2 linked regions of the Rattus norvegicus genome follow. The protein of the gene in region 1 interacts with the protein of each later gene in a biochemical or structural test. Links are inferred from orthologs where the notes say so. Each region holds a gene or a part of one and is shown on either strand. Other genes may lie near its edges.

The links.
Region 2: the proteins of Cttn (region 1) and Actr3 form a complex in vitro, tested with the Homo sapiens proteins (3 studies listed by BioGRID). The link is inferred for Rattus norvegicus from reciprocal best matches to the Homo sapiens genes CTTN and ACTR3.

What each region holds. Positions count from the first base shown.
Region 1 is NC_086019.1:209,028,467-209,031,269, reverse strand, and holds the end of Cttn (src substrate cortactin), read left to right. Parts: coding exon 1-47; intron 48-841; coding exon 842-978; 3' UTR 979-2,222; downstream 2,223-2,803.
Region 2 is NC_086031.1:39,393,447-39,397,948, forward strand, and holds the start of Actr3 (actin-related protein 3), read right to left. Parts: upstream 3,064-4,502; 5' UTR 2,979-3,063; coding exon 2,935-2,978; intron 1-2,934. UniProt on the Homo sapiens protein: ATP-binding component of the Arp2/3 complex, a multiprotein complex that mediates actin polymerization upon stimulation by nucleation-promoting factor (NPF).

The sequences.
Region 1 (2,803 bases):
GAGTGACCTGGGCATCACAGCCATCGCCCTGTATGACTACCAGGCTGGTAAGACACTGACTGTGGCCTGCGGGCACAGATGTTCCTACCCAGGATGAAGTTCCTAGCTATTCCCCTCCTGAGACAGTTCTGGGAAGGAAGATGAGGCTGTCTTATGCTTGGACTTGAACCAGGGCCTGTTACCCAGTCTGACCTGGAACTCCGGGCTTAAGCAATCGTGTCTCAATTTCCCAGTGGCTGACACCTTAGGTGGACTTTACTGTGCCTGGGTATAGTTTCCACACTGTATCTTGAAGTAAATTGACAGGTGTTGCCTGGGATGGTGCAGGGATGCCCATGTCTGTGCCCACCCCTTGTCTCTCATCTGAATCCTTGGGGATCTAAAGCTGCAGAGCCCCCTTAGTCACAGACCCACAGTGCAGGCTGGGGACAGGATTCCACACAAGAGCCAGCGTGGCCCCTCTCTGTCACGTCAGCACATCCATTTCTCCTGGCTTAGTTATTACTTGAGCAGTGTTTTATAGGATGCATGGCTGTGGCTCCCTCAAATCCTCAGGCCCCCTAGGCTGAGAGAGAGAGGCTCGCTAGCCCCTTCTCTTCCTGAACAGAGACCTGGCATGTATTTCCTGGTACGCACATGGGTTCTGTGACTTTTTGGCCATCACCTCAGGTCTCTCTAGAGTCTAGATATTCATGTATAACCTTAGCAGCCCTCTCCATTGCCCTCCTTGTCATGTGTCTTAACAGTGAAGGCCCTCTCCCCTGCCGGGTGGGTGTCTTGATATCTTCCACCTGGTCAGGTGACGATCCCATCTGAGTCTCTTTCTTCTCTCCCTCCCTAGCTGGCGATGATGAAATCTCCTTTGACCCTGATGATGTCATCACCAACATAGAAATGATTGACGATGGCTGGTGGCGTGGGGTGTGCAAGGGCAGATATGGGCTCTTCCCGGCCAACTATGTGGAGCTGCGGCAGTAGGGTGGCCACCCAGAGCCTACCAGCACCAGCACTGGGTTCACACTACATCGCGTCTGCGTGTGTTGAATTGGTTTCTGCTTCCATTTCTGTTTTTGTTCTTTTTCCGAAGGTGGGGAGGGGAATATACATATTGCCTTTATATTTAATACGTCTGCTGATGCTTCGGGGCATGTCCTGCCACAGAATTTGCTAATGTCTGATGATCATGTTCACAGAGAACATGGGTGATTACTTTCAGCCATCCAGGTGTTTTAGCTTTGCCAAGCCGACTGTGGTACGTAGCCACTTCAGGGCATGCACTTCTCCTGAGGTTGGTGGTACATGTGGCCTTGTGCCCACTTCCCTTCCATGGCAGTCGGGTTCCCAGGATGGAGACAGTGCTCCTGGAGTGGCCACTCAGGGAGGAGGCTCTCTGGGATCCAGTGTTTGGAAGAAGAGGAAGGGCGTCCAAAGGAAATCGAGGTCCCGGAGCGTTGACCCTTCGAGGGAAGTCGTATCTTTCAGTCCTGACCATTTGAGCCAGGATCTGGGCTTCCTTTACTCCACCTCCTCATCTCAATTCAACCTGACACCCCAGTCCTGGTTGACCCCTTTCTCCTGCTGCCTTGCCCTGAAGTGTTACTTTCTCCCGTCTGTATTCGAGGTCTGTAGCACACAATGCATCTCAGAGATGTGCTGGCCACTTATCCTGAGCTTGGCCTGCGACATGGGAGACTTGGGGAGGGAGTCTTGGACTTGCTCATGACTCCTGCTCAGCCAGAGTGAGCTGTGTGGCCAGCCACCTGGCTGGGCAGACAGATACCTTCTCCCTGCAAGCCTCCAGAAACATGCTCCCTGTGGGGAGCTGTGTTCTTTTTGCCAAATATGTTCAATTATAGTCAGTTGATAGATTAATGTGGCTGAACACAGGACTGAGTGAACTGATCCACCTGGGTGCCTCCCCAGCATCCTTGATCAACTGTCCCTAAGATGCTTTCAAAGTGTCTGAGACACCAGGAGGCTGGGCCACACTGGTTATACACAGTCAAGCGAGCAGCACAGCATGTCCTTGTAGATGCGTCCCCACCTCTGGGACACATGAGGACCGATGCCCGTTTTCTCCCCATGAGCTTTCCTGTAGAATCCTTGCCTTTCCGTTGTTAGGTTGGGTTTTCTATATGAATTATCATCTGGAATTCTGTAGCACACCTTATAGGTATGGATTTTTTTAAATTAAATATTCAGAATAAACTTTTTTTGATCCATTTGCTGTGTGGTCCTCTGCAGTGGTTAGTCTCCATGTTTTGATTTGAAGGTGGCACTGGGGCTGAATTTCCAGGGGGGCCTCACTCAGATGCCCGTTATCAAGGCTGCACTGTCCTTCACTAGGGTAGCTGAGCAGCCGCAGCCCCTAAGGGCCTTGCTCCCTGATGGGTGCTTTCGGCTGAAGTGTACCCTAGGATCTGAGCAGGGAGATGGCTCAGTTGGTAAAACTTGCTGCACATCTTAGGTTTTGTCGCTGTGACAAGGCACCCTTATTAAACAGCTGTAGGGAACAAGGGTTTACTTAGCTACATATGGTCCATCATGGTGGAGAAGGTACACAGCACAGAAGCAGCTGGCCATGTCATGTCCATAGTCAGTCCTGCCCATAGCTAAGATGGTTCCCACATCAGTTAACATAACAGGCCTGCTCAGAGGCCTACATTCCAGCTGAGTCAAGTCCAGCTGAGGAAGTTGCTTCTCAACTTCTTCTTCCTGGGATCCTTTAGCTCACATCCTCAGGTGGTGACCCACAACCACAAACTTCTCTTCATTGAGTCGTTGTAACTGTAATATTGTTCCT
Region 2 (4,502 bases), on another chromosome or scaffold:
ATGTTATATAGATCTACTTTCACCAAAGCAAACAAAATGATTTGGGCTTACAGTTGGAAGACTGCTTTAAAAAAAAAAGGTAGATCTGAGAAATTCTGTAATGTATATAAATATATCCGAGGCTTGTAAACTAAGACTGTATATTAACTATTACTTAATCAGTGGAAATAAGCCACCAAAGCAGTTTCTGAGTAAAAACAAAACACATCGAGCAAAGAAAAGCCCTAATAGAAAAATGAGTGAAACAGGCAGACTGAAACTATCTTAGGATAACTTTATTACAGGAGCATTACATCCTTTTGAAGCTTTAAAACTTGCTTTTCTCGTTGGAGATGGCTCTCCAGCCTGTTTGACTGGGGTCTGAAGCAGGCCTTGTGCATGAGAATGAGGCACTTTTCCTAGCTACATTTCCAAGCCCTACATCTTTGTCTCTGAACAAGAACTTTATTCTACAATACTTGGCCAATAGGGACCAAAAAGGTATGTTGACCTGGTGATACAGATATGAAGGAAGTATTTCTTTCTTAATTCCTTAAGTATTTGAAAAATACTTCATGACCTCAACCTAGGTGGTGATGATGAATTATGCTGTAGGATTCTTAATTTAAAGTTCTAGAATTAAATCTCATGTGTCCTAACATTTACAGCTTGTAAGCCTGCCATCAAGTTTAACACACTACCACTTTTTGCCTAAATTCTTTAATGAAATGGGATGGACAACCTATAAATGGTCCACTTACTCTAGAAGAGTAATTGTGGAGACCTAAGAGGTGAGTGCATTGACTGGGGGAGGAGGGTGTACAAATTAAAGGGGTACATTTTGCATTTGGGAAACAGTTATTTCAGATGTAAAACTCCCTGCTAGTCATTTTTGGACATGCTATTTATCTTGGGCGCTGAGAAAGGACTTTTCTAATAAAGCTCAAGGTGAGAGTCTCTAAACTGCTGTCTAGTAGAGCCAACTGGTGGGATTGGCAGGGGAGAGGATGACACACCCAAAACCTTCAGAAGCAAAATAAAGAAAACTACAAATTGGGAAATTCAGACTGTGAGCAAAGGTAAAAACACTGAATAGAGAAAGTGACTTTAATCAGTTTCACCCATATCATAAATGAATATACAGCTAACCTCTCTTTGTAAGGTGAGATCAATATACAATATAGCAATGTAATGGTTTAGTAATTGAGATATTAGACAGAAATAGCCTAGGTATAAGTTGTATCACTTCTCCTGGTCACTCCAAATGTGTTTTTAATTCAAGGTTGCCCTTTCAGAAAAAAAGGTCACTTAAGGACAGCTAAGTTCAATGAGATACCAATTACTACTTATTCAAAAATAACCAAAACTGCATTTCAAAAGAGGAAAATAAATACATAAAAAGATTAAAGACGCATCCTCCTTAAGCTGCTACGGCATTATTTATACAGTGATCAATGACTATGTGGCTTTACTGACAGTGATTTCTAAAGCATGAAGCACTACATAGCACTATCTGTCACTTCAATAAAATACACTTGAAAAATCCTATTCACGCTAGCCAATTCTAATTTTTAAAATCCCTCTAACATCCAAGTACTCATCAATTAAACTACGAAAAGATAAACTTAAATATACATATATAAACACTTCAAGAGGGTGAGACCGGATTGAAAAAATCTAACTTTAATACGATGTCAACTAAGAAAATACATAGAAATTCCAAGGCTAAACTAGTGTTTTCCAAGAAATAAAAAATTAAGTGTTTTGTTGTTTCCGGCTGCCTAACAATTACATGTAAAGGCAGAGAGTTAAGATGGGAGGGATTTATACAAACTAACTAATGTCGTGGAAGAGGCATCCTTTAAATAACTGTGGTAGGGTGAATAAGAGGAAAAAGGTTGGCAACTGTCCTCAAAACCACTTATGTGTTTGGGGGATTCGAGATCAGACAGGCCTCTTCCTCCACCAAGTATTGCAACGTACAGCGTAAAAAATGTAGTCGTCTCTCTAGGTCACCACACAGAGCAAGTTCTAACTCTTGACTAGGTTCATTAATACAAACCTACAACTTTAAAAGTCACTTTAGCCAACCACACTACTATCAGAAACAATTGCTTTAATCAAACACATTCCTTTCTATCTCCTTTCAGCTTTCAAGACACAGTCACAAACCAAACTGAATGTTTAGGTTCCAGGGTGCGTCCCTTCTCCTCCCCATTATCTCCCTCCATGGACACAAGAACATTTTTTTTAGTTCAAACACACTGATACCTAGCACTCATAATCTACTCTTTATGCAACCTGCTTAATTTTGAAAGTTCTAATAAGACGTGTTAACGTTGGAGACGAAAAACTACCTTATAAGGCTATAAAAGACGGAAAGCAGGAAGCGGCTTTGACAAAACTAAGGAAGTTGCAGCGCGCTTGCTCACTAAGGGACTTTTTTTGAGGCAAGAGCAATAACCCCATGAGATCCTCCTCGCTGGAACTGACTTGGTTCAATGGGTAGTGGGAGATGGCTAAGAATGGGTGTGGGCGGAAAAGAGGCGGCGCGTGGGTCCTCTGCAAAAGCCCCCATTCTAGCTTCCCATTTTCACAGCCCGGTTCTCCGCTCTCCCCACCCACACGCCCTAGAGATTGAGGGTTGTCACCGCGATCTTGCAAAACCCGCAAGGAGCGCTTCTCTTTTTTCCCTTGGTCCTACGCCTGGAGATTCCCTGAGAGTCCCCTAGTTCACAGGCAGGAAGAGGAGAGATGGGAAAGGAAAGCCAGGTGGGCCAGACGGCCTTCCCAGAAGGGAAGGGCCTGAAAAGATCTTCGTCCCAGAAGGCTGAAGCGACCGAACCAGGGAGGCTCCCGGCACCACCCGTCGCCAGTCTGGCCGGCTCACCCCATTCATCTCCCTCCTCCGGCTGTCCCCAGACTCAGTTTCCCCACCCAGAAGACCCGCCGTACCCCGTGCCACAGTCCACCACACAGGCCGGCAGCCGTCCCGCCATCTTCCTCCTCGCCCGCCGCTGCCGTCCGTTCCGTGCTGCTAAGAGGCCGGGGATAGAGATGTGAGCTAGCTGACCATGCACTGGCCTGGGCCGCCCTCGGTCCTGAGGGAGGAAGGGAGGGAGCTGTGGGAAGCCCGAGCAGTAGCGAGTGAGCAGTAGGCTAGTACTTCCGCAAGCCCAGCAGGCTGGCCGGCCGGCAGGCTGTCCCCGCCCTGCCCCGCCGCGGCCTCCTCCTCCACCCCTCCGCTCTCGGCCCTCCTCCTCCTCCTCACTCCCGCCCCCACCCTACAACTTCTTCCCCTCACACTGCCTTTCCGCGGGTAGCCAAGATGGCCGCCGCTGCCGACGCCCCGGCCAGGCCAGGCCCCAGGCCGCGATCGCTCCCACTTCCGGTTCCGGGTGGGAGGGGCGAGTGCGCGCGCGCGCTGTAATGTGCGACCGCCGGGCCTCGGCTCCCTTCCAGATAACCAGAAACTCCACTTTGGGTTTTCAGATAGCTAGAAACCCAGTAGCCAAGCTAAGCATTAATGCTTTCCGAAGCGGCTGCACATGCGCAGTGGTGTGCAGCTGTGGGTCGAGGCTCCGGTTCCAACTTGCTAATATTCCACTTCACATTTTCTGGCCGGTGAAAGCCGAGAAGTCAGGCAGTTACTTAATTATGAAGCTGGCTTTTGGTAGTGGTGTGTGTGTGTGTTTCTTCTCTGCTAACTTGAGGAATGAACAGAAGGCTTCTCTACTGTGGGGAAACGTGGTCAGCAGCATGCCCCTATGATCGCTCTAGGTGTGCAGTCAGAAAAGAGATGAACAAAGGTTTGTGTCCTGAGATTTACGTCAGTTATACTATTACATTGTAGTTTCAAAGCTCACCCAAATGGTGGGCCTCTGCCTTTAAGAAGGCAAGGATCCAAGACGTTAGGTTAAACAGTAACAACAAACCCACCTTCTCCAGGGTTTGGGGATTCCTCTGTGTCATCAAGGAAGGCAAGTGTTGGATCAGGTAAAGGTGCTTGCACTCACTAACCTGAGTTTGATCCCTGGAGGTGCACACGCTGGAAGGAATGAAAAGACCCCCACAAGTTGTTCTTTGAGTTTGCACACGTTCTCCCCCTCACACGAAAATGTAAAACAATAAAAATAAAAAAATAAGCTTCCCAGAGGTTCTACATAGCCTGCACAGATGGCCTTTATTTGGGTTTTGGGGTGATGATAAACTTCCTCCAAGAGTAGTGAGATTGTCTCAGGCCTTTAAGAAAGGCCAGCCTCCCAGAGGTTGTGTTCTACATTATAGACTCTGTGCAGGTACCTGGCCTCTATTCAGGTTGGAGTGATAATGGATTTCCTTCTGTGTAATACTGTTAGCTTGAAACTTTTTCTAGTAAAAAAAAAAAAAAAAAAAAAAGAAAGAAAAAGATATGTGTTTTTTACATTACAGACTTAAAAGGCAATACTTTTAAAAACTTGAATACATCAGAGTAATGTAGAAAGTGTAAAGTGCTTTGCTAGGTCATATCTCAGGGGATTATG